2 linked regions of the Astyanax mexicanus genome follow. The main gene of each other region encodes a partner of the protein of the gene in region 2 in a complex. Links are inferred from orthologs where the notes say so. Each region holds a gene or a part of one and is shown on either strand. Other genes may lie near its edges. The genes, in order: slmapa and sike1.

Region 1 (16,558 bases), on a different chromosome or scaffold from region 2:
ATTGATATTTGAGTGTTAGCTCAGGGGACAGCTAGGAAATGCCCACACCTTTGAAGGTTGTGAGGCATTATCTTGTGAGGTTGATCACTGGCCAGCATATTCATGGCAAGAAGATATAAATATATGGAGTTTGAGCGAGGCCTGATAGTGGACGCCAGATTGATGGGAGGTTTGTTAAATGTATTTAACATTATTCATATTTACAATCCACATTCATTGCAGGAGGCCCTTGCGTGCCCAATGATTAGGAGTGAGCATCAAATTATGATTTTAAAAATCAATCATGGGTTTATTATATAAACTGATATTGGATAATTTGAATGAAGAATGACATTTTTAGCATTATTTAGACAGACTGGAGTTAGCATGAGCATGCTGACTGGTCTGCAGCAAGAATGCGATTTGATGACACACAGTAGCCATAGTCATCAAGCCATGTCACTTCCACCCAATAGCCTTTATTGCCTTCACCTATTTATAAGCCAAAAAAATACTTTTTTGGCTCATGTTTTCAGCTGAGCATTTGATGCAAAATCTAAAATCCAAAATGTCATTTCCAAGACACAATGTTATTCAATTTATCTACGAGTGGTCTTAACATTTTGGCAGTATGGTATATATAAACATGTGGTCATTGTGCACAATGTTACGCTTACAGCTTAATCAGCTGTTAAATAGGCCATGATTTAAATGGGTTAAACGGAAACCTCCAAATCCCCAAGGCTCTTGACTGACATCTTAACTCCACTTGTACTGTCTTTGACCAAGTCAGGCCTATTCTGTGCAGCAGGGGCACCAGAGTTCAATACTCAAACACAAAAAAAGGCCAGTGAAGCATTTCTAAATCATTGACGATGCAACAAAAGTGGAAACTGAACAGAGAAAATATCTATTAAAAGATCACTCCACCACTTCAGCCCAACTTCTACATGCCACGTCATCGGTAGTGTACAGGCAGTTTCCACAGAGCGATTCTGATGTGCTTCCCTGTACCTAGAAAAGACAAGATAACCTGTTGACTGAAAAACACAGTGTAATATAAGCCAATACACACGTGAGAGTCAGAAGGCTTTCTTCTCTGATTTCAAATCATCATTTATTGTTGACAGTATACTACAGATGAGTCAGATAGAGATAAGGCTGAAATTCATCTTATAATTACTGTGCACTCAACTGAACCTAACTGAAGAAGGACCAAACTTCAATTATGCCTGTTCTTCTAATATCAAAGTTGAAGAGTAAACATAAAGACCACTATTATTAATAATAATGGAGAATTATGTAATTACATATTCAATTATGTAATTCATAGATCATCCATATATCAGCACAAAGAGGCTGCTGAACATACTGCATCTTCAAGTGTGTCAAATGACTAGACACAAAGATCAAGGGCTGAAAGGAAATGTTATTTAACCTATTACTGACTTAGATACAACAATCACTAATAGATCACTAACAGGTCTACGTTATTATACACATAAGTAGAGTTGCTGGGGCACTGAGCAAAACCAAAGTCATGTCAGTAAAGAACCATTAGGCAGTGTGCATTTTGGAGCCATGGGTGAAGGAGATTCACAGTAAGTTTGTATTAAGTTAGATCTATTTTTCTCTCACTTAATGTTAGAGCCTGCTAGAGTAGTTAAACAAGATAGAATTAACATTCCCCCCCCCCCCCCAAGTTTCACTTGCACTTTAAATTTCACTTTAAATTTCAAAGGTGACAGCTTTACTAGCAGTTCCAAAAAATCCATAGTTTTAGTCAAGCTAATGTTAGCGATAATTTCTAATTCTTTCTCACTCTGAGTTACTAGAGCCTGCTAAAGTAGTTATACAAGATACTTAGTACATTTAAGTTCAGCAAGTTTACGCTCAACCTGAAATGAGGTGGCAGTTTCAACTTTTTTTTAAAGGTTGACAAATGAATCGATTATCAATATAATCATTAGTTGCAGCCCTAACATGGATGGCCCTTGACTGTTGCTGAGCTGGCATTTACTTTAGAATCAGCTGCATGTTTTTCAATCAATTGTGACTCATCAAGGTTGCTGGCTTTACAGATATTGCTCATGGTAGGCACACCTGCCAAAAAATAAAAACGATCAAAAAAGCATTTCTCTGCTAACTTAAAAAGGCTATTACCAATATGAATAATAAGCAGTGAAAATATCTCGATATCAATGGTACAAATAAGCAGACATTTGTTTTTAAAGGTATTAAACACTAGCTGGTCATATCTTGATTTTAGACACACAATTTATTAAGCGGTCCGAGTTACTTGATTTGCATGTTGTATATTTTAAATGCACCATAAGTGTATTTACACCTGCATTTTTATGTGCCGATTTATCCACATCCGATAATCCAATAAACCAGATAACTGGGGCCGTAATGCTATATCAACACAGGTTGGGGTATTCCCTGTCCCAATATACCTGATCCAACTCATGACAGAGTTGATCATAAGTTGATGAGCTGGGGCTTTGCTGAATCTGCACAGGGCAGTACCCCTGGCACAGATATTCTGTGCTCATTTCTCTACATGCTACTCAAATGATCCCTGTACTGGCAGCTGTGACACACGAAGCCATCAAAGTAATAAGATCTTTCCTAATGTCTACAGAAGCCAGGTTTGATCCATTAGCAGAAGAGCTGAATATGGAAAACAGGTTAATGGTTAAACCTGGCCAACCACTCAGTGCTCTTTTTTGAGAGCGAGGTCACCATTCACTGACTCATCAGAGAAATGTCCAACACAGCTGAGTGAAGCTGGCACACAGTTGCCCTACAACCATAATCCACATGGGCAATATCTCCAGTGCGATAGTTGTGAGAGGCTAATACTGTTGCAACCCTGGAACAGACAGATTAAGAGATTTGACTGCGCAGTCAATCTAGTTAAGGATCAAAGTCGGCCATTATTACGTTAACACGGACAATTGTTCAAATAAAAAATTGGAATATTATTAATTAAGGCTTAATATAAAATCTTCAAATGCTCAAAAACATGGTTAATGTGAAATTAAAGCTATAGTCTCCTCTACATCTTTACTCTGATTAGCTGTATCTGGAAACACAATAGGAATTTCAACATGTGAACATTTCTGAAGGGTTTTAAAAGCATGTTGAAGGCTTTTACTACCTGGAGAAACACATATCTATGACATGACCTCATATACTAGACAAAACTGAAAGAATGGGTTTGGATTCTATATCAGTCGAGAGAGAGGACCAATTGCAGCATTCCTGAAGGGTTTAAAAGAGTGTTAAAAGCACAAGAGGAACCTAAATGTATGACATATACCAGACAGACAAACCAATCTGTAAAGGTAGAGTAGTTTGTAAAAAAAAACTTGTTTTGGTTGACTGAAGGACATGGGTTCAGTTCCTCTATACATTCAAAGAGAAAAGGAGAACCAACGGCCACATACACACCTACACATGAGTAGAAACGGACTAATCAGTTCCCTTCACTAAACATTTTCTTACAATTATGAAAATATTGAATCAGATATTACTTTGGATGACAGAATTATTAAAATACAACACTTTCGGCTCATAGACTGTACCTAAAAACTACACAGGTGGAACTCAAATCTAAGACTTACACCTAATCAGACAGCTATGGCAAAGTTCATAACAAGCATTTTGTGCTCATTACACAAGACACAAGACATTGGTCCTGTTCCTATATATTTTCAAAGAGTAAAAGACCAAACAGCTGCTTGCACGGCTACATGTGATCAGTGCTGAATCAATCAATTATGCACACAGGAAAACATTAAATAAGACAATCCTTGCCGTTATGAAATGACTTTAAACCACATGACCTGCCTCGCGTCTTCCCATCCAAAAGGTGTTCTATCAGGTTGAGGTCAGGTTTCTCTGCAGGCCAGTCAAGTTATTTGCACACCAAACTGTCCATCCAAATATTTATGGAACAGAAATGGGGCATCCCCACACTGTTCCCATAAAGTTGAGAGAAAGAATTAGTTCCAACCCTGTTGGTATGCTAAAGCATTAAGAGTAAGGAAGTTAAGGAAGTCCCACATCATAAGCCTCCCTCCACTAAACTTGACACTTGGCACAATGCACGGAGACAGGTCCTCCTGGCAGCTGTCAGTCCAGTACAGAGGTGGCATGCTTTACATCACTGCATCCCATGCTTTGCACTGTGCTTGGTGATGTAGCTTGGTAATGTATGCCGTGGATGCAGCTGCTCAGCCATGGAAACCCATTGCATGACCCTCTCTACACACTACCGTCTTTAAGCTAATAAGAAGGCAGTAAAATTTGAAGGCCGGGAGCACTTGACTGTACAGAAACTAGACATGCACTAAATGCACTATGCTATCAGCATCCACTTGCACTAGGTGGCCTAGCACTTTGTGACTGAGTTGCTGTCTTCCCCAAACACATCACTGACAGTAGACGGTGGAATATTTAGTAGTGAGGACATTGTCCAAGTGGACTTTGTTTTACAGGTGGCATCCTATCAGGGTATCACACTGGAATTCACTGAGATCCTAAGAGCCAACCATGCTTGCACAAATGTGCAAGGCCATGAAGTGATTGGAACACCTGAGTTCAAGTATTTGGATAGGTAAGGTAGTGCTTTTGGAAACGTAGTATACTTAGCTACAGTTCAAACAAGTCAGTATAGTAAAACGTAAAGAAAATCACAAAACCACAGCAGGCAGTCACGAAAAAGCAACCTGCTAGTTAGTTAACTAAATCAAAACGGGTCTCATTTGGGACAAAAACATCACAGCAAGCTTGCTATTTCATACACATGATCCAGCTGGACCTGTTTGTGCATGCCTAAAGCACTCTCTCACACTCACACACGACTCACCTTGCCTGTCTTGTGGTCGAACCAGACGAGAGCGTGATTCCTGGACAACACCTTGCAGTCGAAAGTGGCGTTGTTCTGGGCTGGCCGACACCGGGCCACCGACCGCCCGATCTTGACGGGCTCGTCCAGGTAGACATGACGCTCCTGAAACGGGTGCGAGTTCGGGCGGCAGGTGAAGACGGCCAGCGCTGAAGGCATGGATGAAGACGACGGCTTGGGAGTGCTACTCCAACCAGAGGCGAAAGGCAGGGCTTCTTGATCCAGAATGGCAATCCTTCCACTTTTCCTATCTTTTAGGGAAACAGTCGGTATCGTGTTTGGCTCGTGTAACGCAAACGTATGCACATGCACATATTTCCAAATCGACTAACTAACCTCGCTTACATAGCTCGCTAATGTCCAAAGGAAGAGCCAGCCAAGCCCCCCTGCTCCCCTTCTTCTCGCAAATCCACCATGATGTCAAACAGAACCCAAGGCGATGGAGCTATAGCTAGGACTGCACCTTCTCCACACGGCCATAAAAATGCATTGCTTTGGGTTTAAACGTCAACAGGCCACGATTACCTTCAGATTCTCACAATATGAGCTTCCACCACCTTGCTAGCTAAGTGGCTAACCATAGGATCACAAAAACACAGATTCAGCCTTAAATGTAGCCTTGAACGTTAAATCTGGCTTGTATCTTTTGCTAGCTTGCTGGCTAGTTATGGTAGTCAACTTAGTAGCAAGAAACCTGTTGTGTTGAGGTTTGTAAACCTACACTAGCTTAGCTACTAAACCTACAGCTTCGCAAGCTTTCTAGCCAACCTAGGTGTAAGTTACTATCTATTTAGCTATCTATCAAAATAATCCGTCGTCTTTGTTGGTGCTTCAATAAATGAAATAGAGGAATTCGTTCAATTCAAGTGCATTTAAATAACAAGCAGCTAACTAAGTTAAGAGGTCAACTCAAGTTCTCTAAACTGGAATAGCTCAAGTTAGTTAACCACTGCCCACTTTGAAATTTAGCTAGCTAATGTTTATGTCCCCAACTCACTAACTATATTTTCTGTTAGAACTAGTTAAGTTAGTTTAACTTGTGTCTTACACACTTGGGTAACTTGTATCGAGTATTTAGTTATCTCAGTTAGCCAACGTTAAATTCAAAAAACAATTTACTCTCAATAGTTAACTAACTTAACTGTAAATGTCAAGCTCTCACCCACCACTTGCTTAGCTATTTAGACACAATTCAGGCACAAATATGTTTAAACATCTTTGAAATTTAGTCTTAATCGCTTAAGACTTCAAAATAGGATATTTAATCCGATTAAATTGATTTATTTGCGGGCTGCTCATTCACACATACAGAATAAACTGTTTGGTCTCCATGTTCACAAACTGTTAGTTAACTTATTAACGCTACCTGTCTCCGTAGTTATGGTTTAAACTTGGGCAGCAGGCTAGCAAGAAATAGCTAACCTAGCTAGCTAACGAGATTTCCAAAAAGCCAGTTAGCTAGACAAGAGGAGCAAAATATGTGAGGTAGAGGCTAATAAAGCTAACTAGTTAGCTTTAATTTGTGGAAAAACACTCTTATAATCCCAGCTGTCGACTAGTCTAAGCTCTAAAATGCACAACAAATTCCTTAACTCATAAACTTTGCGATACAAAATCCCCCCTACTCCGCTTGTTAGCTTAGCTTAGCAGCAGTAGCTCACTAGCTTCGCGGCTAGCCCAGCCTAGCCTAGCCCAAGATGCTAAGCTAGCTAGCCAGCCAGCCAGCTAAAAGACACGGAACAGCAGTTTCTGGTCCTTTCCCCGCCACGCGCAGGCCGGCCTCCGGGTCCGTTAGAGGCTCCGCGCCCCGGAGACTCTAAGCAAGGTGTGTAAAGTGCTCCAGCCGGTCCGCGAGTCCGTCAGCGGCTATTCAGACTAACTTATCTCCGGTTATCCTCCTCCGCAACTCGCCGCCGCCATACTGGAGTGGAATACACAAACCGGCGGGGCTCGCGAAGAGGAGAGAGAGAGGGAGGGAACACCAGCGCTGATGCGAAATAATTGTCCAATCACCAAATAGATCGGGTGACCAAGTTAACCAATGGCATGCTAATTATTAGAATTGCAAATGAGGTTCTTGGATAGGTCACTCACTCTCTTTCCGCCCACTGTGTGTATTAGCCCTTACTACAGTGTGCAGCGTTTAAATGCAGAATATAAATAAATGTAGTAAGAAAGAAAGAAAGAAAGAAAGATAGAAATTGGAAAAGGAACGAAAAGTACAGTGACTGAAAAAAACTGATCCTTATATTCCTCCAAGAAATAAAAAAATCTGTTTTTTAGGTGCTCTAGGCTGTTATATGTTTGATAAGGGACATTACTAAAAATCATAATTGTGATTGTATTAATAAGTAAGTGAATCTGCTAATGTCAAAATATAATGAATACATTCATAAAATTGGCTCTTTCCTGACTTGCTTTTTAAAAATCAATATTTTTCTGAATACAAATCAAACAGTCCTCCAAACCTGTTGTTTCGTTATGTTTGTCTAGTTTTTGCGTCTATTTTCAAACATGCAGAATTTGGGATTGATTTCTGTTACTGATTTCAAAGCCCACACATTTTCAGAATGTAAATAAGTTATTTTACTGCAGAAAAAGGGTTTTGGATCACATACACCTGGCATTTTAAGGGGTTAACTTGCAATTTCTGAGGCTGGTAACTCTGATGAACTTATCCTGTACAACAGAGGTAACTCTTGCTCATCCTCTCTTGGGGCGGTCCTAATGAGAGCCAGTTTCATCATAACATTTTTGATAGTCTTTGCCTCTGTACTTTAGGATACTTTAGGATGATTGACTGACCTTCATATATATTTTTTCTTTACTTAGTTAAGAAGTTATTGCCATAATATGGATTAGAATATTACTCAGATAAGGCTAAACTAATTCCATATATTTTTCTTTATAGTTTGGATAATCACACAGCAACCTAGTTCTGATACATCAGCTAACAGATGCCTCTGCTGAGCAGCATCAAACTAGAAGTGATGAGATTACAATTATGATAATTATAACAGGCCAAACAAAGTGTTTTTATCACTAAAACATTAGCTTCAAGTTCATTAAGGGGGTCATGGGTTAGACAGAACATCTGTCATACCCAGCAGAGCATACTGAAGTCCAAAATCTTAGGACAGCTAATCCTATTAGTCCAGAGGGTCTTAGACGATTTATAGGATGAATCAGTTGTGATATTCAGGACAGTGCATCTCCACTCCCCAATAAACTAACGATAAGGGGTTTAGCTCCGTCTGCATGCAGTCCAGACTGAGACCAGTTTCTGTTTGTTCTGTTTGTTTGTCTGGGTAAATGTCTCTGAGATGCATGCGTGCGTTGGCGAGGAAGTGAATTAGAACAAATTAGTAAGTGTGTTCATGATTTATTATTTATGCAAATGAAGTATGTGTTACATTTGAGTCATTGCACAGAAGTTCAGATATTAATCAGCTTCTTAAATTTTGAAACTGTAAAGCATGTACGTGTTTATATGTAGAAAAGACTGAAATATTTTCTAACAATAAAATTCCATTCCATTCCGTGTTTGCATCAGCATATCTGGGAAATTGGAAAACTAAAAATCAAATATTTGCTATGAGTTTTATTTTTAATCTAAATTTTATTTCAATGTTTTTTTTTTACACAAAATAAAGAGCAGCTGGTTATATTGCTTGTTATATTTCAGGTCAAAACAAAGTTTTAAAGTTTAAAAACACACCAAAAATATATATATTTTTATTTTTAGAGAATTATTGGAGAAGACATTAGACACTGTTCTATAACGTATAACCTATAATGTATTAATGAGGGTGGAGATTGTTTTATTCATTTTTAATTGTGGCTGTTATGATTGGTATTATATTCATAAAGAACAAGTCTTGAAGAATACGACCAAATAAATCATAAAAAGCATTATAATTGTTAATAACCCACATTTCTAAAAAGCTGTGGTGGATTTGTTAACAAACAATTGTGAAGAAGAAATGGAAGCCTTCAGATTCTATAGAGTTTTTTCTTCTTTGTTCATAATAACCAATAATATGTGTTATAGAGTCAAACCAAACATATTTTTATTGGTCCTCTCTCTGATTATAACTTTCACTACAAATATATATATATTAATATTTTGAATTAAAAATAAAAAACATATCTTTTTGCTGTAAAATTAAATATTTTATATATATATATATATATATATATATATATATATATATATATATATATATATATATATATTTTTTTTAATGGCTAAAGTATAATATAACATAAAACTGTCTTAGAATGATTAATAACCCAAAGTACCCAAAAATTACCCAAGTTATGATGGCATTTTTGACAAACAGAAAGCCTTGTGTGTTATTTATTTTATTTTCCCATGTTTTATTTGTTTGTAATAATTTATTATTTTTGTTATAAGGTCAATAAATTGTACAATATACTGTACAATTAGATTATTATAAAATAATTTTATTTAAAACTTAACAGTTCTGCGATCTACAAGTCATGTCCACAGTATTAACCCGATTCCTTGTGATCTGCAGATCTGAGCTATCTACCGTACGTTGCTGCGTTATCCGCTTTTTTTTTTGTAAGTGTACGTAGGTAGCGTAAGCGCCGTTCTGAATACAGGAATACGAGCCGCAGCGTTAGTGGGCTAAGCTAGCTGGCTAAGTTAGTTTAGCCTTCGAAGTGAGTCCGAGCCGAGCGAACGGGCACCCCGGGCTCCAGTCATGGCCTTGCGAGGGTCGGAGGAGGTGGAGGAGCGGATGGAAGAAGCCGAGCAGGGCGAGGACCGGGAGCTGAAGATTTCTCCCGCGGAGGAAATGCCAGCGGACGGGCCTGGAGAGGACGAGCCGGAGCCGGAGCCGGAGCAGCAGCTGCTGCTGCCGTGGGACCGCTTCTCCGCCTGGCTACACTGCATCTGTGTGGTGGGGTTTGATCTGGAGCTCGGACAGGCGGTGGAGGTGATCATATTCATCTTATTATGTGTCATTTTATTAATACAATATATAAAAAATGAATAGGTAATGATAAATAGGTTTATTTTGAGTGGCCTGGATGGTTAGCTGACAAGCTGAAACTAGCTGAAACCATAACTAGGCTTCAAATAGCTATAAATGGCAAATCCAGGTCCAGAAAGAGCGAGTGTGCTCCATGTTTTTGTTCTAACCGTCTGTATAGCTCTGCTGCAGCTCCTGTGTTGCAGAGGTGGCCGTGCAGTTAAGACAAAATCCGGGAACGGATTTTTAATATCTGGATGTAGATTTGCCACCACTGCTAAATAGTTAAAGCTAGCTTAGCTAACTAGATAGTCTGTTAATTAATGAATGTTAACAGATATTTAGCAATATTTATTAGCTAGTAAACTAGTTGTTGTTTACTATCTAATGAATAAGTAAGTATTTAGCAGTCATGAAAACTTTAAATGTCTTTAAATATGTAATAATGTAGTTAGCTAATCTAGCTTGCTGGCTAAGCTAACGGTAATATCTATAGTCTTTAACAGTAGCTAGCCTTTCTGTTAGCCTAAACTGGCTAGCTAGGTTAGCCAAACAAACACCCACACACACACACACACAAACAACTACACACACTTCCACACAGAGAAGTTAGATTTAGAGGAAGTTTTATGTTACCTCCCTTTGTGGTTATATATTTTCATTACATCAAAATTAACTAATATTAGCTATATTAACGTTAAATAATTGCTGTAATATAAATTACAGTTTTATTTTTTATTTGTGGCTGTCATGCTGTCATGATTGTTCTTGATGCTGTTTAGATAAAAATAATTTTTGTCTGATTTATCAAATGCTGTGATATAATATTCTTACTATACCACCTAACTCTGTCAGTGTGTGATTTCATACATGTGGTGACCTTTTTACATATCGATATCGGAATATGCAGAAGTATATTGTGATATTAATTTTGCCCATATCGTCCAGCATTTCTATTTAAAATGACCAGTTCAAAGCTACATAACCATGGACTATCCTGATGTCTTTAAACTTGCTGTTTACCTGTGTTTGGTTTTGACAGTTAAACAGTGACACCATTAGTCAACAGGGTCAGGACTCTCAGAGTTCCAGTCCTAGAGGGCCAGTGTCCCTCAGATATTGGTGATTTCTCTGCTTAAACACACTGACTAGCAAAGCTTATGAATGGCTGCCAGAGAGACTTCAGCCCTCCAGATCAGAGATTTTGACCCAAGTTGACAGCGTACAGTAAGATTTGCAGTGCATAACCTGTAACTATTTTGGAGTCTTAATGAGCTCTAATTCTGTTCTTTTGTAGGTTATATACCCTCACCATTCAAAGCTCACAGAGAAAGAGGTAAGAACTGTTTCTTCTCATCTAATGCATTTGGTCTGTCAGGGTGTAGGAATTGTACTGCAAAAATGAATCGGTAGAAATGGTTTATGTATGTTTAACATGTTTTCAGATATTGGAAACTGTATAAATCCTGAAAAAATATTTACAGTTATAGATGTTTTTGGTTGACATGTACACAATTTGTTTCCAACTTCTTTCTTATTTTAGAAAACCAGCATCTGCTACTTGTCCTTCCCAGACTCCAACTCAGGTAAGCGAAAGAGTTCTTCTCTGAGAGTTCATCAGTTTTGTTGAAGTTCTGCCCCATTAAACTTGCTCCTACCTCACCACTGACTGCAGGATCAGTCTGAAATGACTATACATTGCAGTTCTGGGTCATACTAATCTTTTTTACCACATTGCTTCTACAGTGCAAACCCATTGTCACTGCTGATGTTTGCATCCAATGAGTCTTTGAGGGGTTTACATGGGAGTTCCTTGCAACCAATAATGTCAAACATTGGTGAGAATATGTAGAGAACTACATATTTCTATAATAAAACATATTATTGCAGCAAAACTGTAGTCATGTAACTACACAGCTTGGACGTACAGAGGGACAATTCAGTCAGCTTGCTTCACACTACAAATTCAAGATATTTTTGCGCAAATTATACTCTTGACTACATTGAAAAAAACACTGAAGACTGTTTATGCATCTCATGAGTATCCTTTACTTTTCTTTAGGATTTATACGATATAAAAAAATCAGTAGAAACAAAAAAGAAACATTTGTTTATTGCATAAACAACAGTAACTTACAATGAAAATGTTTTAACAAAAAGCACCACAATTCCAAAGTTCAGAATGTTTAATGCATGTTTAAACAGTAATGAAAAGAAATACTTCAACAAAGCTAAATACATTGAAATAATAGTAATATTTAAAGCATTCTATTTCATGTTTTTTTTTTTTTTTTTTCTTTCAAATTGTTAAAAAAAAGTTATGGTGATACCATTGTTTTATTGACACTCGACACACAGCTCTGTAGTTAACATAAAACACAGGCTTGGACTTCTGCCATAAGCCATTGTTCCACTTTAACTATGATCCCATCATTTTATCGCCATTTTAATTATTGATAGTCGTTGTTATTATAATATAATATATGCATTTGCTTGACCATTGAAATATTACCCCTGCTTATAATAAAACCGACTTATAACTAATAACACTTTAAATTTATTGCAATGATAAGCTGCTAGATGGTGATTGCTTAAGATATGTAAAATTTGATTAAATGTCCCATCAAGTACATCATATCACTGTCATCTATTTATTTTTAATTTGCCAAATGTTCCCTGTTATTATTTTGGTTGTGCTTAATATTCGTTATTATTATTATTATTATTATTATTATTATTATTATTATTATTATTTATTTAATTTCATTTTATTTTTTAATGAGCCTACCATAAGAGGAAAAAGGTTGTTTGGTGTGTTGTATTCTAAGGCAAAATAACAGTGTGGTGATTAGCTTTTAAAAACACATCTACTAATTCCTAATGTACTATTAATGCATTAAACAACAACTCTGGCCTTGAAGCTTCATGGATCATGATAGATGTAATTATATCAAAGTCCAGTGATCTGTCAGTCTGTATGATCACATGTTGAGTTATCAGGCCGGCTGATTGTGTGTTGCAGATCTGCCTTTACAGTCATGTTTCAACATTTAGCAAATTGACTGCATTTCCTTTCCACTTATCTTCAGCGAAGGTCTGTAATGCTGTTATTGACTCAGTGTGCAGCCTTTGTGTGCCTTCTTCTCCCAAGTGTATGCTATTTATAATGAATGGTGGTTATGGTGATGTGGAGGGAGGGAGGGAGGGAGGGAGGGTTGGTTCTGGTGCTGGTTCATAATTAATTAACTCCTGTTATTAAACTAAAGCATCTGACTGACATTTGCATCATCGATCGTGTTTCTGTAGTGGGAACTCAGAAGTGCAGCAGCAGCCAGTGTGATCCTAAACTCTGTGTATTAAAGCAACTATCCCTAAGATTTTTTATCTTGGAGGTATTTTAAATTGAAAAAAAAAACAGGATTTCTGATTTGGCTGGAAACAAAATATGCTAATTATTGGTGTCAGTGCCCTGGCACAAACGTCTATGTGATGTCTGATATATTAATTCTAAATACTGGTAGGAGTGGTGTGGTAGGTTTGTTGGATGGTATGACGTTCTAAAGTTTGATAATATTTCAGGAATAAGCAAAATGAACAGAAGGATATCCTTAACAACACAGAATATTACACAGCAGCTTTTATAACCTTTATAAAAAGTACTCTTCCACATTATTTGTGCAATTACACATTCTCACCAGAGAGGTCTTTAAATTCCCAAATCCCTAAAAGGTACAGACTTTCACTTTAAAGGGGCACTAAACCCCTTTAAAGTAAAAGGTACTGGGTGATGGGTATGGGTTTAGAGGCGGGGCAGGAAAGAGAGCTGATTGGCTGAGCTGCAGCAGAAGCAGTGTGCCTCTGATAGCGGTGAGACCCAGATGATTGGACGTCAGCAGGGGGCGGTGTTTTTGATCGACTGATCTGCATATTGTGATGTACTCGCAGACATCATCCTGGCCTATAGCACAGTTGAACCTGAGAGGGCGCTGCAGAGGCAGAAATTACCACAATAAAAGTGTTTTTTAGAGGTGAAAAAAATGTTTATTAATATTTTAAGCAGGACTGGTATGTTTGATTACTTAAACAGAACACATTTCAGCTGTTAATGGAAAAAATATGGTTTAAGGTTTAGTGACTCTTTTAAGAAATGCTACAAAACATATTTGTAGTAAAATACCACTTCTGTTACACCAAAGAAAAATCTGTTTGCTTGTTAACATGCTTTCAAATGAATCATTATTTAGATTCTTTTATATATTCTATATTTTTTGTGGCAATATAAAAAAAAATCGAATTAATGCATTATAGTCCAGCCCTGCTGTTGTATGTTGGCCTTTCTGCTTTACGATTTTACAATCATAAATAATAGGCTTTTATTAATTGTGTAAATATACATACTGCCTGTGTCAGCAGTAGAGTATTTGTATAGTGGGTAGTGTACTCCTGAGCCTGCTGTTGTTAATGAATAGCTGCTACTATCTGTGTTTGGAACAGTAAACCTTACGCTGTAGTGTTCCCCCAGCCTCTGCTGTCATATCGATCCTCCTCTCATCTTACTGAAATACGATAATGGAGCTTTCTTGGGGATGCTCTCTTCTGTTACAGGTAGTGTTTTGGATTTGATGATTAGAAGCACAGACAGAATAGTGTCTCCACGAAAAGCACAGTTCAGCACATGAGTGAGCTGATAGTGGAATCCAGCTGGGCTAGGCTAAAAGCTAACCCAACCCATTACAAATTGCTACGAACAGTGCTATGCTGTGATTTATGGCTACAGTCATGGTTTCTAGTGAGCTGTTGCTGTGATATAAATCAATGGAGAATGTTAATATTAAATACTAAATAAATGCAGTTTGTGATTTCTTTGACAGTGTGTACTGTGCATTTAAAGCTCACCTTCCGTCGTTTTTTCTTTCATTTTAAAATGTCTAGTTGTGGTCTCTAGTATGAATGAATGACATGTGAGCCGTTTTTGTAAAAAAAAAGTGCTCAGGTGTCTCTGTATAGCTCTTTTTTAATGGACTGTTTTAGGGGTGTGTCCACAATGACCGGATTCCAGCTTTGCTCATGAATATTCATACATGCAAACAGTATGCAAATATCTCTCCTCTGATTGGCTAGGAGCACTGCGACGCCCCTCCACCGCTCTGCCGCTCACTGCCTCCCACCTCCTAACTGATGAGCGGTGATGTTGCGTCGCTTCAGCTCCGCCTCTGGGAGTTTCTCGAGCCAAGGTGGGCTGGTCTGTGAGTTTCTGTAGGCAGAAAGATAATTCAAAATTCACCCGTTTTTCGGAGGGGGGGAGGGGGGATTTCTTTGCTTAGCTCCTGCAGACAATGGGGGCTGCAAAACAGTTTAATGTGCAGGTGTACACATTCAACTCAGAGAGACCTACTGTATTCCACAAAAAACAAGAAAAATCGGATTTTCGCGGAAGGTGAGCTTTAATGTAACGCCTACTTAAGTCAGAGGTCATTTACAGGCCATGACATCAAGTAATGTGTGTAGAATTAATTGGCAGCACAATATCTTTTAAAAGCCAAGCACCCACAGGTCTATCACCTCTACTGCCTGTCTGCAGTATGATATATGTAGCTTCTCTTATCCCCATATGTATCAATGAAACTTAAAACAGCTTTTTTTTTCTATATCTATTGTATCCAGTGTCTAATTCCAGCAGTTAGTTTTGCCTGAGGCAAGTCCTTTTTCCCCTCAGAAATCAGCCTTAACCCCTTTATGCTGCTATATCATAAAAAGGACGAGTTGCACTGCTTCCTATTCCTTTCAGTTCATTACATGGAGTAGCTGAGTTGTATTGGAACTTACATTCACAGTAAATACTAATAAGTAATTATGCATTTAATGTAACACATGCTGGTCAAACTGAGAATCCAGCTGAAAATCTGCTTTGCTTCTTGTTCTCTAAGCTGCTCTCTAAGCTCAATGAAGGCAGTCTGGGACACACTTGGTCTGTGCGGGGGCAAAAAAAGAGGCATGGCTACCAATGAGTAGATGTTTCTTGCACTGACTTAAGCTTTTAGTATAGGTTACAATTTTGGCTTTGTTCTATTTATATAGAAGGTGAGGAAATTGAATCATGGTGTCTGTTTTCTACAGTCATTGGGAACAATAGTTTTAATTCTAAAGCATAACAAGAGGTTACAATATGGTCATGCATAAAAAAAAAAAAATCACAAATTTTAAGTAGTTTTCCAGTAGTAAATGTTAGGTAAGTGTCTTTATAGGCTTTATTAGGTATATTTTTCTGCCAAATTGCTTCTCGGCATGCAGTTTCCCTTTACCCTTCTATGCTCAAGCATCCAGTGGGAGACGGCGGCCTGTGTGTGGGCCTGGAAGGACATATGGAAATGCTAGCTCACGTTAGCTCCGCCACTAGCACGCTGTCGTGGGTGAGGCATCGCGCTTATGTCGTTGGAAAGGCATGCGGGTCGCCATAGCAACTGAGTTCTTACCACCAGCGAGTCTGAAGAAGTGTGCCTGTGTGCCGCTGTGACACACTACCCTCCTCGCGCCGATACGAGTCCGAGACCGAGCACGGAGCGCGAGAGGGCAGCCAGGAGCGAATGCTCTCTCTTATGGGTTCAAGCTGTGTAATAAGTCTGAGTCAGGCTAGCGGTGATGCCTCATGAGTTTGTGGACCAAG
Region 2 (16,799 bases):
ATACCTGCCATTTAGCTATTTTTTATGTTTTTGCTAATTCTATGCTAAAAACTCATTCCTGTTACTCAAAACATAAAAAGTAACAGGAATGAGTGCCAGTAACAGCAGTGAGTTCCAGTAACAGGAACAAGTGCCATTAACAGGAGTGATTTTACATAAATATCAATTACTTAAACATGAACTATTTCTTTAAAACAAAGACTTTCTTGAGAGAAAATCAAAGAAATTACTTGCTTTTTGTAACCATCTTCAACTTAGAAAACTTGTACAAAATTAAGTAAAGCTACCTGAGTTTGACCAGTAGATGTTTTGAATAGTTAAATATATGTTATTAGATTCAGAGTTAAAAAAATATTAATTTGGAAGAATTTGGTGGAATGGCCCTTAAACAAAAATATGCACCCCAACAGAAAAATTACATCAGTATTAAGAAGATCCTCCTTTTGCAGAAATAACAGCCTCTAAACGCTTTACAAAACATCTCCAGTTAAGTCAGGTTTGATGGTTTCTGAGCATGAAAAGCCGCTTTAAATCACACCACAGATTTAAAATAATATTCAGGTCTGGGGACGATGATTTGTTTTGAAATGTTGTGTTAGGAAATAATTCTTTAGTAATTCTACAAAAAAAACATCAGACTGGTCATTGTAACGTTTATTAAGACACCATTTACATAATTTCAACACATTTAGTTGATTAGAAAAATAACAACTGTGACAAACAGTTTCCTGAGGTGGTAATGCAACCATCTAATAGTAACAGCACCTGCATAACACTAGAAGTAGCATAGCTAAGGACTATATTACAACATCAGTTGAGACTCTTTATTTAAAATGGCTAGGCCTACGCCCAATCCATGTCTAGGGAACCAGCACTATGTGCCTTTCCTATAGCTCAAGTTTCGTTTATCTGTTTTTTATTTACATGCTGAAACTCAGTTCAAGCCACTGTACCAGTTTTAACCTCAGAACAGAACCGTGCACAAAACACAGACACGATGCCACAATAATTTATGCAGTAACCACTGGAGATACTGATGCAATTCATTAAAAGCTACTACAGGCCGCTCAAAGGCAAGGCTACATTTGTACATTTGTTTATGTATATATATTTTTTTTATTATATTAACCAAAAAATGGGAATTCTGCATTGCAAAAGTATTCCCACCTCCAGAAATGCTTCGAACATCTGCCATATTAAAAATCACAGATACAAAAAAATACACAGATACTGTTCTTAGTCATTTTTAGAAATCGGGGGGAAAAAACACTTTTTGGGCTGGCTGAGTGTGCCATGCATAATCTATAAGATTAGCTTGTTTTTCTAACTTTTTACATCAGAATTTAAATGCCAGCTCATTTACTACCATCCAAACTAATACCACAGTACTGGGAGTAAGAAAAGAAACCAATGAACAATTGTAGTAGTATGTTAGTAAAGAGTCAATTATGGCATTTTCTCATGCCTGGTTGTGGTCCAATAAAAAAAAAAGTTTAATTAGACTGAAAACCTAATTTAAACAAATGTCCAAATATAACACTAAGAAGCTCAGCAGTACTTTTCATTTTACCATGTAAATCTGTATCAATACAGCAAAGTCTGAAGATTTCCCAAAGTGCTGAATATTTTACAAGGCACTGCAAAATTAAAAATAATGCTAATTTTATAAACTACAAAAAATGAGACATGCATGTGACAGGCGGTCAACTAATGAAAGGATGCTGTGCATCTTTCCTGAGAAAAAATCTGAAAACAAATCTACCTCTGTTACTACATTGTAGAAATGTGCGCCAGTGGGCAGCAGGAGGGTCAACACTATAAACATTACCACACAGATACGAGCCAACACGTGTCCTGAGATGGTACAACAGAAAAAGTTGAAGCTACTGAACTGTAGCTTCAAAATAGAGCAGCTCTTCATGTATTTGGGTGCACTCATTCAGCGTCAGTAACTCTGGGGCTTGGCTCTGCGTTGGGTTGGCTGGTCTCTTCTCTGTGTGGTTTCAGGGTATTCTTACTGATGGCCAGGAGATCACGTAGCTCCTTGTTTTCAATCTGAACAAATATAAAAATGTAGTCAGTTGCACCAAAACATACAAAATAATGCAGCATAGTATTACAAAACTACAATAAAATATAATTTGCTATACTTGACTTTTAATGGAACACTCTGGCGAGACAAGGAAAACCCATATCATTCCCTTTAATATCAAAATAATATGAAAATCAACACCTCAAGACAGAATATGCTTTTTTAAATATTTAATACACTTGCAAGGTGTATGTCATCTGAAAGAGTTTTTCCTAGACCAGCCAATATATGCCTTTTCAACAGACATGGACTGAAACATTACCTCCAACTGAGCCAGTCTCTCCTTGACAGAGCAGTAGTGCTGGTCATCCACCTGTACCGCTCTACGCATCACCTGACCCATCTCACATATTCGCTCCAGCTGACTCTGCACCTCCTAGACCAAAGACCAGAAGTACGTTGTGTACTGAGTGTACCAGATATATAGTCTGCACATTTGTAAAAGCTTGTATTATAACATATCCTTTATAGTTCACCTTAGCATGGTCCTCATGAAGGCTGAGCACAGGCTTAGTGTCCAGCTCCTTCTTGCCCATCATCAACTGAAGCATCTGCTTGCGGTATCGACCCATGATCAACTCCAGTGCGTACTGGTGCTCTTCTAAGGAAAGCCAAAGCTCTGTGGAACAGCAGAAAAAAAGAGCATTAAGCAAATACTCATTATGATGCTATGATTTAGAATTGCATATTGTATGTGAGAAATGTAGAAATCATGCCTCTGTTCTCCTGCTGAAGTTCCTTAATCTGAGTATTCTCTTGAGTCAGAAGAACGTGGGGTTTGTATTTGGACAGCTCCTGGTATCCAGCACTTTCCTCAATGTACTGAAAGAATAAAAGAGAACAATTAAATATGTACTGACAATTGTCCTAGAAAAATTAGTTTTCTAAAGCAAATATAGATTAGTTAACTGTGTGTCTTCTAGTAGTTCTTTTTTTATATATGTTTTTTTCTCATTTGTTTGATTTGGTTATTCCTATCTAGTTGTAAGACTTGTGTTTTAGGTGTATTTAATGCTTAAATATAGAATATTTTAAAGGGTTTACGAACTATCATGGTTTTAGGCACTAGTTTAAGTTTAAAGGAAAGGCCCATATTATCTAAATATTTTCCTATTTTTTTTTTTTTTTTTTTTTTTTTTTACAATAGAAAATATTTTCTATGTAAACTTTTATTTTGTACTTTCAAAAATAGTTTTATATTTCAGAGACACATCCCAGCACACATGCTTTCAATATGTGTAAAGAGACTATTTTATATCCGAGTATGAAAGGTGGAGGAGCCCAAGGTCTCTAACATCCACCAGCTCTGTGGTCTCATCAAGTGGAAGAGTGAAAGAGGATTCCAGAAGTAACCGGTGAAGCTCTATACACCCATAAAACCCTATTACATTTGTTTTTGTATTGTGAGATTGTTCAAATGTTTTGAAAAAAAAAAACAAAAAAAAAAAACACATTTTAAAATCAAAATGTATATGCAAACTATACTTGGAGTAACAAATAGCAAGGCTGCAAAGACTGTTAACATAAATGTTCCCCTCCATTTATTATGTTTATACAACCCCTGGCAAAAAGTATGGAATCACCAGTCTTGGATGAGCACTCCTTCAGACATTTCATTCTGTAAAACAAACTCTGATCAAAAACATGATACAATAATAAGGTCATTCCAAAGTGCAACTTGTTGGCTTTCAGGAACACTCAAAGAAATGAAGAAAAAACATTGTGGAAGTCAGTGAATGTTACTTTTATTGACCAACCACAGGGAAAAAAAATATGGAATCACTCAATTCTGAGGAAAAAAGTATGGAATCATGAAAAACAGATAAACAAAAGATGATTCAAAATACATCACTAGTATTTAGTTGCACCACCTTTGGCTTTTATAACGGCTTTCAGTCTCACAGGCATGGACTTGATGAGTGACAAACAGTATTCTGCATCAATTTGGTGCCAACTCTCTTTGATAGCAGTTGCCAGATCAGCTTTGCAGGTCGGAGCCTTCTTGTGGACCATTTTTTTCAATTTCCACCACAGGTTTTCAATTGGGTTGAGATCTGGACTATTTGCAGGCCATGACATCGACTGAATGTGTCTTTCTCCAAGGAATGCCTTCACTGTTTTTGCCCTATGGCACGATGCATTGTCATCTTGGAAAATTATTTCATTATCTCCAAATATCTGTTCAAATGAAGGGATGAGAAAACTGTCCAAAATGTCAATGTAAACATGTGCATTGATAGAAGAATTAACCACAGTCATCTCCCCAGTGCCTTTGCCTGACATGCAGCCCCATATCATCAAGGACTGTGGAAATTTGGTTGTTTTCTTCAGGCAGGCCTCTTCATAAATCTCACTGGAACGGCACCAAACAAAAGTTCCAGCATCATCACCTTGTCCAATGCAGATTCTTGACTCATCACTGAAGATAACTTTCATCCAGTCATCCACAGTTCATGATTGCCTCTCCTTAGCCCACTGCAGTCTTGTTCTTTTATGTTTAGGTGTCAATGATGGTTTTCTTTTAGCTTTCCTGTATTGAAATCCCATTTCCTTTAGGCGATTTCTTACGGTTCGGTCACATACATTGGCTCCAGCTTAGTGCTGGGCGATAAAACGATATCGATAGTTATCGAGGAAACTATATATCGCGATAAGTCGGGGCGAGAAATTCGATAAACTAAATTTTCTATTTCCCGTTTAAGTAGCGTTGTGAAAAGGCGCAGCACGAGATCAGGCAGCACGCTGAACTGCTGCTCAGCCCAGTACAACCCCTCCCCTCCCCTCTCCACCATCCCCCTCCGCCCCACCCCCCGAGCCCCTCCACTCTGAACTCCTCACATAGCGGCTCCTTCTCTCCCATTTACTGGATAAACTTCATTTATACTATTCAGCGGCGCTACACTGGAAAACTCACCTTTTAAATATGAGGCATGCGTCTCCAAGATATTTAGAGAGGTGAGCTTGTTCAGATTTCTGAAGGCAGGTAAACGCTGCTCTGTTTGCTGCTAGTTAGATTAGCTTGTCTCCAGTTTAAAGTTAGCGATGTTTAGGTGTAAAAGGGATCTGTGCAATCTGTCATCATTAGCTAAGATGCTTTCACTGCTTTTTACATTCTAATAAACTAATGGGTAACGCACGTTAGCCGTGTTAATCCACGTTTCGTGTAAATTAAGGTTAACTTCAGCACGAGTGAGGGGTTAGTATATAAACACACAGAAAGGAAGCACTTTCCATCTTTTTTCCTAACTCTCACTGTTTCTGTTAGAAAACCCTGAGGGCAGCATTCTCCTCTGTCTTTGTGTTTTATAGTTTTTAACAGATAGAGAGTCTGTTATGCTGGATATTTTACTAAATACAGAAGATTATATAATCTGTCTAGCTGTATTTGAACTGAGCTAAACATTGCTGTTACTGAACTGGAGTTTTAAATACACTTAAGTAATGTAAGTCTAGTCTACTGAAAGCCAGTAATGTTAGTATAAATCTGTACTGCAGTAGAAGTGGATCATTTCAGAAACTTGACTTTATTCCTCCCACCTCCATTATAGGCCACTTTTTTTTTTAAATATTTAAATGTTAGCTTAATTTAAATGAAAAAAAAACTAAAGGCTCTTATTTAAAAAAAAACATAAGCAGTAAATTATCTAAAATTACAACAAATAGAAAATAGAAAAACAGTAAAACATATGTAATACATACTTTTTATATGACCAAAATTAAACTAGACTGAAATCTGACTAAAACTAATAATATCCGATAGACTAAAATGTAACTAAAACTATTATACATTTTAGTGAAAAGACTAAGACTGTATCAAAATCACCTGTCAAAATGAACACTGTGATATACTCTTGTATTTTGCTTTATGTAGTTGCCTGCATTCAGGGAGGGGAATGATCTTTTGATTAAATATAATTTTATAAAAATAAATAAAGTGTTATTGCAATTTAAATTAAACAGACATATAATGTAAAGGGTCTTACATATTTTTTAGTTTATATATTTGTCCCCTTTTTAAAATTAATTTAAAAGCTGTACCCACCTGGCAAGATGTTAACATCCTAGTGTCTGTCCACAAGGCTCTGAGCCTGCTAGTGATTTTGTCCATAACTCCCTTATTCTGTCACTTCTGAGTAAAAATAGAAACCTTTAAGTGTAACAGAAAGTGATTTGATTTATATCGTGATACATATCGATATCGGCTGATATGAAAAACTATATCGTAATAAGATTTTTTTCCATATCGCCCAGCCCTACTCCAGCTTCTTCCCATTTATGCTTCATCTGTTTAGTTGTACTTTTTCGGTTTTCAAGACAAATGGCCTTAAGTTGCTTGTCTTGACGCTTTGATGTCTTTCTTGGTCTACCAGTACGCTTGGCTTTAACAACCATTCCATGCTGTTTGTATTTGGTCCATATCTTGGATACAGCTGACTGTGAACAGCCCACATCTTTAGCAACCACGCGTGAAGAGTTACCTTCTTCAAGAAGTTTCACAATCCTCTCTTTTGTTTCAAGAGACATTTCTCTTGTTGGAGCCATGGTTCTTGCCACTCTAATTCGTCCAGCAGCCCTCCAAGGTGTCATGACTGCAGGTGTTTTTAACTGCAGACTAACGAGCAGATCTAATCTGAGGCAGGTGTCCATTTAGGGAAAGGAAATTGACTGGGTGTGTCCTTATTTTCTACCTTCAATTTGAGTGATTCCATACTTTTTTCCTCAGAATTGAGTGATTCCATATTTTTTTCCCTGTGGTTGGTCAATAAAAGTAACATTCACTGACTTCCACAATGTTTTTTCTTCATTTCTTTGAGTGTTCCTGAAAGCCAACAAGTTGCACTTTGGAATGACCTTATTATTGTATCATGTTTTTGATCAGAGTTTGTTTTACAGAATGAAATGTCTGAAGGAGTGCTCATCCAAGACTGGTGATTCCATACTTTTTGCCAGGGGTTGTATATGTTGATATATTTTGCTCTTGATTTGATTGTCCATGTGATTTTTTTTTTATTCAATTACAGACTTAAAACTTTTAGTTGGTGGATTGCTATGCTAATGGCATTTGTCAATTTAATATTTCCTATTGTTATTTAATTTACTTCTTTCTATAATTACTGTATTAAAATTACTTAACCTAATTTACTCATGTGTTATATATATGTTTAGGTATGTAAACACTATATGTATATTTTTATATGCATGCCTGACTTTATGTAAATGCACTTGTGTATTATGTCTGGCATTTTGTGGGTTGGGGGATGGAGTGTATAGTATATATATTTTTTGTTATGTAATACAAAAACAAACAAAAAAAATTAATGGCTGTGCTTTGAGTTATTGTGAGAGAAAGCTGTTTACTGACTACTTTACATTGTATTAAAGTGTGATATCTTCAGTTGTGTCTCATGAGCAGGAACTTATGGTACTAATGTAGGATTTAAAAAAAAAAAAAAAATGAATACAGGGCTCCTGCTGGACTAGTTAACCTACCTTATCCGGCAGAGCGTTCCCCACCTCCCTCATGCTGTGGACCCTCTGGCTGAGGGTGCTGGATTGCTCGATCAGACTCTCCGCCGCCGTGTCGTGCTCTTTCAGCCTCTCCAACAGAGTCCGAGCGTCGGACAGCACCTTCTCCATGGTGCAGGACATGTCCGCAGGTAGGTAACCTACTGATATGCTACAGAAACTACAGTCAGATATAGGCAGTATGGGAGTGTCCTGTGTCGATCTGCTGCCAAAACTTAAGTTACTGTAAACACAGAAAAGCAGCTCTAAATACAGACCTTCAGTGCTTAATAAACTGAATACCGATACAGCTTCATCAGCTAACCTACATATTTACTGCCTCGTGTCCTAGTTTTAATCAGAAACGGGATTATTACTGAACTGTTGTAGCCAAACAAACAGCAGATAGACAAGATAAACCTGCAGGGACTCCAGGCCACCGCTGCGCATGCGCTATGCGTGTTTCCGCATCTTCTTCTTCTTCTTCTTCTTTCAGGTTTATGGCGGATGGCAGACCAACTGAAGGTGCATTACCGCCACCTACTGAGCAGGAGTGTGAAGTGTGATTTCGGGAAGTGACATGGCCAATAATAAACAAAATGTAGGTGAAAGGAAATTCATAAATAAGTACATAAAACTAAAAGAAAGTAAACGAGAGAGGGAAAAAAAAAAAAACTAAATAAAGCAAAATATACCAATAGCTTTCAAATATTGAAAAACCAGTTTATGAACCGACCCCATCCCTGCCCCATAAGAAAGCAATCCTGTCAAAGAAAATTCTTTATGACCCTTGTCTTTAAGAGAAGAAAACAAAATCTTCCTTTGTACAGCATATTTATTGCAACAAAAAAGAACATGGTCCACGGTTTCCCTCTGCGGACAGTGGCGACAAAGCCCTGTGGAGTGTTTCTGTATAATTTGCAAAGAGGCATTCAGCATACTGTGACCTATTCGGAGCCTTGTTAGTACAATTTCCTGCCTCCGACCGTACCCTCCACTCCCTCCAAAACCAACTCTCGGTTGTATTGCAAACAAATGCCTCCCCTTTGGTTCATGTTCCCAATTAGACTGCCATAATGTTCTAACATGTTGCTTTACAACCACTCTTGCCTCAGCTTTGCTAAGAGGGATATTGAGATCACTTCTATTTTGCTTCAGGCAGTGTTTAGCAGCTTTGTCAGCAGTCTCATTACCGTCCACCCCTACATGTGCTGGAACCCATAAAAACTGAACTAAAATAGTCTGCATGTGTAAACGAAATAATGCCTGAGATATTTCTAAAATTAGGTCTTGTCTACATTTAGATTTGCCAGACTGGATGCTTTGTAAAGCAGACAAAGAATCTGAACAAATCACCATCCTCATTGGGCAAACATCCTCAGCCCACTGCAATGCTAAAAGAATGGCGACAAGCTCGGAGGAAAATACAGATAGGTTATCAGACAGTCGCCTACCAACAACCACATGAAATTCTGGCACAAAAAACGCTGCTGATGTGGAACCCACAGTAGGATCCTTTGACCCATCAGTATACACCTGCAGAGTACCATAATAATTAAGTGCCAGATGTTGTTCTACCATAACAGCTGTACTTCCTGCATCACTCCATTTTTTATTAAGGAGGGAAAAATCAACCCTAGGCAATGGGAACAGCCAAGGTGGTACCACTGATATAGGAACAGTACTGCTGAAAGCACGAGCCTGCAATCCCATTTCGCCTGCTTCTGAGTTGCTCAGACACCCAAAACTCCTTGAGGGACCATGAAGAGGAGCACTGCAATCATGTAGAACAGACACAGCTGGATGGCTCTCTATGTGCCCCTTCAGGTTGGACCAATATACAGTAGACAATGCAAGTCTTCTTAAATGCAAAGGCATTTCTCCTGTTTCAACCTGTAGAGAAGCCACTGGGGAGGATCTAACTGCACCACAACACAATCTCAGAGCTTGTGCTTGAATTACATCGAGTAATTTTAGGTTAGACTCAGCAGCTGATCTATAGGCCATGCAGCCATAGTCAAAAACCGATCTAATTAGAGCATCATAAATGCACAGGAGAGAGGAACGGTCAGCCCCCCAGTCACTTCCCGCCAAGCATTTAAGGACATTTAATCCTTTTTTGCATTTGTCTATGATCTTCATAATGTGATGCTTCCAGGTCAATTTCGAGTCCATCCACAAACCAAGAAACTTGATTACCTTCACCTGTTCCAGAGTCTGACCATACAATTTAAGCCCAAGTTCATTTGTTTTTGATCTCTTAGAAAAATAGATGACCTGGGATTTAGCCACAGATAACTTGAATCCCCATTCATTTGCCCAGTGTTCAACCCCAACAATTGCCTCCTGCATCTTTCGCTTAACAAAGGATAGATTCCTCCCTCTCTTCCACAGAGCCCCATCATCTGCATACAAAGATTTTGCTATGTCAGGACTAACCCCAGAAAAGATATCATTGATCATAATGTTAAATAAAATAGGGCTACAGACACTGCCTTGCGGAGTCCCATTTTCAATAGAATACACTTTAGAACATGAAGTACCCACCCTGACCTGTATGGACCTATTCATTAAAAAATCCATTACCCAGTTGTACATCCTCCCTCCGATTCCGAGCATAGACAGCTTAATTAGCAGACCTTCTCGCCACAGCATATCATAAGCCTTCTCAATATCAAAAAATACAGCAACAACCACTTCTTTATAAAGCTGAGCCCTCCTGATATCCGCTTCTAAACCTAGGATTGAGTCCATTGTCATTCTGCCCCTACGAAAACCACTCTGATAAGGAGAAAAGCTATTCTGACGCTCAAGAAAGTAGGACAACCTTTCTGTTATCATGCGTTCCATGTTTCCGCATCTTTTGCCGGTGAGCTGATCATGAACACGTTTTTTTATGTAATTCTTCCATTTTTAATAGTTTAAACGACTCCTTCTTAATCTTTTTTATATTCCTAAATTATTATAAAATGATTTTAATAACATATTGAATTTCAGAGAATTTATTGTACTATTGAATACTTTTATTGTGTAAATCTCACAAATGCAAGTATAAAATATAATACGTATTTTTAAAAGTTATTATATGTATTTTATTTTATGTTAAATATATAAAGCCAAGTGTTATTTTAGCTAATTGAATGTGAAAAAAATCATAAATTAAAAAGTTAAATTACCGATAATGTATTAATTTATTAAAGTGATATTGACGACTTTTATTTTGTAAACCACTAAAACAAGCCATCGGCAAATCTATCATATACGAATTATTTTTTGTTTTATTCGTGTTGTACTTTAATATATGTTAAATATATATTATTATATTCCTAGATTCTTATAAAATTACTTTTCCTATATTAAAAATAAAATAAAAAAGACTGATTACTTTTATTGTGTACATCACACAAACACCAAGCCAAGCTAAGAATATATTACATAATACCTATTTTTAAAGTTATGTTGTATTTTGTTATATGTTAATATATAAATATACTATTATTTGGTAATTAAATGTAATTATTATATATAAATAATAAGGTTTTCGAGATTGTATTGACATTGCTGACTGTGCTGAATTGTTTAAACCACTAAAAATAAAATAAAAGCTATCTGCAAATGTGTCATATAATAATATAACTTTTTATGTACTTTAATATATGTTAAATATATACATTAAAATAAATTAAAATAGTTGCAAGTCTGGGAAATTAGAGTATGAGTATGTGTATGAGTAAATAGGCTATAGCCAGGACTGACTAGCATGTATATAGGGACTTGACTTTTCCAGCTTGCTAACACTATTCTGTTTTTGGCCTCCATCTGTATTTATCAAAAAATAAATACATAAAAAGTAATCCAGGACTTCTAGTATTTTCTAGTATAATAAATCGGTTTATACCAGGTTTTTTTTTTTTTTGTTGCAACTTTCCACATCTACATCCACATCCATTCATATTATGGTCAGAAATTACACCCAGTTGGACAGTCAAACGGCCAGTAGAGGGCGTACAGTTCATTCAATAGGCCACAAAGTTATAAGCATTTCTTTCATATAAACTAATCTAATTACTAATCAGACCCTTATGGTCAAGAGCCAGAAACAAACCAGTGTGATTTATAGCATTCAATTTATTTACAGTCTATAATATGGCTTTAATATCCATTTAAGACAGTTAACTGTTAAGGCATCTAACAGTTCTATGCCATTATATATGTACATACAGTCAGGCAAAAAAAACATTGACATGTTTATTCTGTAGGAGAAGTTAATGAAAATTAGTGTAATTTTTGTTTTATTTTTATCAGTCCATTCATCATCAATTTTTGAAACACAATATAAAGAACAACAGCCAGATTTACAATAGGGCAAAATGGTAACAGTGGCAAAAATGAAAATACAAGGTTTTAGCCTGTTGGCAATGATATAAATATTGTATAACAGTAAAAAACATAAAATATACTATAACTATAACCATGGAAAATACATAGATGTAAAACTTATCAATTTAAAACCACTAAACTTAAACACTATAATTAGGTCAGTCAATCCAACAGAAACCCACTTTCTACATATAAAAGGAGAAAAGTTTGGCAAGTGGAGGAGAAAGCCATATATCCATATATCCATATATCTTATACTGAGTCATGGTTCTTTTCCCCTCATCACAATCTAGGCTGCTCTAAGCTCTTCTCCACCTCTCTAAAGAATCCTGTCAGCTGGGCAGTGGTATCAGTGTGCACGGTGACTCCGCCTCTTACTGGGGAATCGGATCCCGTTTCCCAGCAGCTGCTGTGGGGTATTCATGTGGACGGAGCTTGCAGTGACCGTGGGCGTGGCGAGAGTTGGTGCGAGATGCTCGAGCGAAGCAGGATGCTAGAGTTCTAGAGCTGCAATCGCAGGGGCCGTCCTATAGGGGAGGAAATATACAATGTTTAATCCAGACCAAAGAACAATTTTACAATATTTATATACTAAATATTTCATTCATGAAAAAAAAAAACCATAATATACACTGATGTGCCACAAGTCATGGGATAGCAGTTTGTCAGCTAATCATGTTAATCATGCAGAAAACTGCTTGGGAATGGCCATATCTGTGTTGTTTTGTGAATGAAGTTGAATACTAGCCATCATACTCATGGCAAGGCATTATGAATTTTTGGGCATTTAACATTTCTCAATCCACAGTGTCATGTGTATTAGGAGCACTTTATATAAGGCATTACCACCCACAGTCAACAGTGCAGTGGGTGGTAATGATCTTGACTGGCGGCATCTGGCCAAAACTGTCTGTGCAAACACACAAACGACACTAGCAGACATTACATCCATATGCAATACAGTAGGTTCCAGATGCATATCCCGTATGTCAGTGTAGTATTCTGTAGGTCACACAATACTAGATCCTGTCTCATGGCAGTGTATAATAGATACCTATCAATTGTTGCTTTTCAAGGCTAATGCAGTCTGATAACTGCTTTCGGACATATTTGCAAAGTTAGTTTAACATTTATTACAGTAGGAAATTAGATGTAATTATTGACTTTTTCCATTTGGAAAAAAAGAAATTGATTTTCATTAATTTCTTCCATACCATTTTACATAAAATTGAAGAAATAATCTTTACTCAATTTTCTCCTCCAGTCTGATAATATAATTCAACCTATTGTTGTTGCAAGATGCAAAGCAAAATAAAAAAAATAGAGAACTGAGTAAAAATACTTTTTATTATTTTCCCTTAAATTCAGATTGTATGGGAAAAGAATGAAAAAAACATTTGGAAATTTGGAAAACCAAAGAAAACATGTTTCTAATACACTACACAAAATAATTAAATTCATCCTGAAACAGTCGAAAATTGGACTGGATGGAATGATAAGCATAATCACCTTGTAAGCCCCTACATTCCACTCACCTCCAGAGTGACAGCACCAAGTCCCTTGTCCTTACTGATGGGTGTCTTGATGCCCTGGCTTTGACCCTGGCACTGACCCTGAGCTTGTAGTTGTCCAGTCCTTGGCTCATCCTTCTGACCCTGTTTCATAAACCTGCGATTAACAATTCTGGTTACGCTGTCGCTCCGCACCAGCGGTACGCTGGGAATCCGAGAAGTAGGCCCCTCTGCTTTCTTTACTCTTGCTGAACCAGCGTGATCCCTACGAACTGCTGGAGCTTTCTCCCCTCCCGGGTTGGGTTTCTCTCCACGGCCGCACACGTTGCGGAAAAACTCCTGCACCAGACCGTACTTATGGATCCCTGCGGACTTGCGGCCAGCGGGCTTATCGCTGCCTCCCCCGGACACTGAGTTGGGTCTGGTTGAGCTGGAACGACCCCAGGCAGAGGAACTGGAACTGCACTGAGAGATACTCCATAAACCACGCTCCCTGGAAGTTCCCAGCCTGGAAGAAATGGCTAAAGATGACGATGAAGAGGACGACAGGGTAGATGAGGTAATGGAAGAAGAGGAATTTGAGGAGGTGGAGGAAGAAGAGGTAGATAAAAATGGAGAGGAGGTGGAGTGTCTTCGGTTGAGTTTAGGTGAGGTAGAGCAAGCTGGTAGCCTTTCTGTTGGCCCAGACATCCTCTCCAGGGATGCAGAGATTGGCTGAGCACGACCAGACACAAATGATGTCACCCTGGGGGACCAGTGTTTCCCGGCATACATGCTTCGAGGACCCTCGGTCTGAAGACCCACGCTGTTCACCTGAGGTTGAACTTGAGTGTTCGTTTGGGTTCCTGTGCTGATAAGTCCCACAATATGGCTCGCAGAGTCCCGCCCTCTCCTCCTCTCTGGAGTGCTAGGGAGAGAAGATTGAAGGACACTGGCTGTCATCTCCTTCATGTCGTCACTCATGTTGGCTGAAACCTCTAAACTGAAGGGCAGGCAAGATGGAGACGATAGTCCATGCGTTTGGAAACCAGAAGAAGAGCTGGTTCTAATGGCAGCAACTGAACCTTGCTCTATTGTACTATTGCACTCCAGAGGTAGAGTCCCAAGCCAGCTCTCGTAGACAGTGGTTGAATCTCCATTGATATGCTGAGATGAAGGTCGGTGGCAGTTTTTTTCTGGCCGATCCCGAGGCTCCTCACCCTCATCCTGATCTTCTACTGCCACAGCACTGAGGTGGATTCTGCGTGCTGAGGGAGGACTGTAGTATATCCTCAGTGTGGTTCTCTCTGGAGCTGTGTGGCTCTTCTGAGCTGTTTCCTGCTTTAGGTTCATATTAGGGAAGCTGGGAGGCATGATGGGACAGTCCCAGGTCTTGCAGAGATCTTCTGTGTCCATAAGAGCTGCTTCTCGACTGAGGTACAACCAGTTCTTGGTAGAAAAACGTGCAGATTGGCAGATTTTGGGAGTCGTCCTGTGAACAAAATTAATTACTGTTAGTTGCTAGACCGTCCCATGACTTCTGGACCAAATTTGGATTACCTGAGCAGTGAAAGAAATGTGCTACAGGTCCAGTTATGAACACTAGTCACAAATGCAGAAGTTCACAAGAACTACACTGATTATAAAACAATTCATGAAAATCTAACCCTCTGAGTTTCACAAACTCACTAGTATGTCAAATTGCAGTATTTGTGTATCTGTTGTTTTCCTCTTGTCTGTGATTGGTGGATTTGAGCATTTCTCTATATTCTTTGTGAAACTGACCTGGACTGGACTGACTTATTGTATAATTCTGGAATAACTTTAAATACAGCCTTTAAATTAAATGGCTTCTTTGTCAATCAAAAAAAAAAAATCAGGAACTGGGTTGCAAGGAAACTTCAACACTTTTCATAGGCTCATAGTACTGCATATGCATATTTTAGAAATATTTTGAGAAGAGATAATCAAGCATAATTAAGCATATTTCTGCACTATATGATCACAAAGATATTAAAGCTTCCAGTCCTTAAGTTCTTTTTCTTTTTAATTGAAAGCAGTAGTATTCCTGAATGTGAAGTGGACAACATATTCTAATATAAGGTATCAAATTGCTTCTTTTATCAGCTGTGCACAACCAAATATATTCATTTTAAAAACAGAGTGGTCTGGTAGTTCTCTCTGAGAAATTTCCTGGCAACGTCACATGTCTTTCCATCAGCTTTTGCTAGTTACCTGCTTCAACTGTGACACGGATAATGTCGCTGCTACAGTAGCTACTGAGAGCATGAGGTTATAAGACTGTCAAAGTGTCTTTGCTCATTTCTGCATCAGTAAACCACAGGAAGGCAACGTTAGAACTGAAGAGAGCTGGCAAGCTAATAAGGAGTGCAAAAATATATCACCAGATTTTATATAAAATATTTATTATTATTATTATTATTATTATTTAATATTTTCCACATGCTGATTGTAATTACACATTCTGACACCCACAATCTACAGATTGCCACTTTATTAGAAACACTGAGATGAGCAGCATGTTTGTGGATCACAGTGGGTTAAGAAATGTGTTACGAAAGCTACACATGTGAATAGAGAAAATAACAGAGATAGAACTGACCTGTTGTTGGTTTCTTCTTCTTTCAATGGAGTCTTACATCCATCAGACTGGAAACAAGCAGACATGACAACAATTTAGTTAAAGATTTTGTATTTATAATAAAAGTAGGTTTAATTGCAGTCTAACCTCAAAGTATGATTTTGATACTGAATGTTGTGGGTATGGAGGCAGCTAGGGCTGAGAGATATTCTGAATTATGTATCAATTATATATATTATATTTAAATTATATTACAGCTGAGGAATGACAGTTTTATTCAGTTTGTTTTATTTTTATATGTGCCAAAACATAGTAACTAACAGTATCATCTAGGGCTATCAAATTTGCAAAGTAGTGTTTCTTAGACATTTATATTCAAAGGAGTCAAAACTGTATAAGCACACTTCAACTTTTATAAATCAAATAAATAAATAACAAGTAACTTATTTTAACCTTATAAACAGTTTTTATATTAAACAAGGTACAAAAATAATTCCAGTAATAATAATTAATAATAATATTTCAGTAAAGCATAAAAAGTGTAGATTCACTCATGCAGGTTTTATATGTAAAATATGGGGATTTTTTTGACCTCATTTTAAAAACTTTAGCATTAAAAAACATCATTTCATATATGGAGTAAATTCAATTACCCTTCCTAGCACTACTGGCAGCCCACAGTTTTAGTTTGTGCTAGCAATGTTCACACAAACTACTGGAAAATGGCGAT

Evidence for each region.
Region 1: the proteins of sike1 (region 2) and slmapa are in contact, whole or in part, in a crystal structure (PDB 6AKM), measured with the Homo sapiens proteins. The link is inferred for Astyanax mexicanus from reciprocal best matches to the Homo sapiens genes SIKE1 and SLMAP. Residues at the interface, in NP_079349.2 of Homo sapiens: Ile5, Ile8, Leu9, Ala12, Lys13, Leu16, Leu19, Arg20, His22, Asp23, Ala26, Glu27, Leu29, Val30, Ser33, Ala34, Leu36, His37, Val40, Met43, Arg44; in NP_001291349.1 of Homo sapiens: Leu168, Tyr171, Leu172, Glu174, Ala175, Arg178, Glu179, Met181, Leu182, Lys185, Thr188, Leu189, Leu192, Leu193, Ile195, Thr196, Ala199, Ser200, Thr202, Ser203.

What each region holds. Positions count from the first base shown.
Region 1 is NC_064431.1:3,489,245-3,505,802, reverse strand, and holds the start of slmapa (sarcolemma associated protein a), read right to left. Parts: upstream 6,839-16,558; 5' UTR 5,231-6,838; exon of another isoform or gene 5,146-5,230; 5' UTR 5,054-5,145; coding exon 4,856-5,053; intron 1-4,855. Other genes in the region: dennd6aa (DENN/MADD domain containing 6Aa), read left to right, coding at 9,625-9,858, 11,192-11,230, 11,438-11,480. UniProt on the Homo sapiens protein: Associates with the striatin-interacting phosphatase and kinase (STRIPAK) core complex, forming the extended (SIKE1:SLMAP)STRIPAK complex.
Region 2 is NC_064420.1:39,056,213-39,073,011, forward strand, and holds sike1 (suppressor of IKBKE 1), read right to left. Parts: upstream 8,025-16,799; 5' UTR 7,742-8,024; coding exon 7,583-7,741; intron 2,915-7,582; coding exon 2,809-2,914; intron 2,712-2,808; coding exon 2,569-2,711; intron 2,469-2,568; coding exon 2,355-2,468; intron 2,056-2,354; coding exon 1,936-2,055; 3' UTR 640-1,935; downstream 1-639. Other genes in the region: si:ch211-197l9.2 (protein SOGA1), read right to left, coding at 12,352-12,504, 13,513-14,959, 16,091-16,137.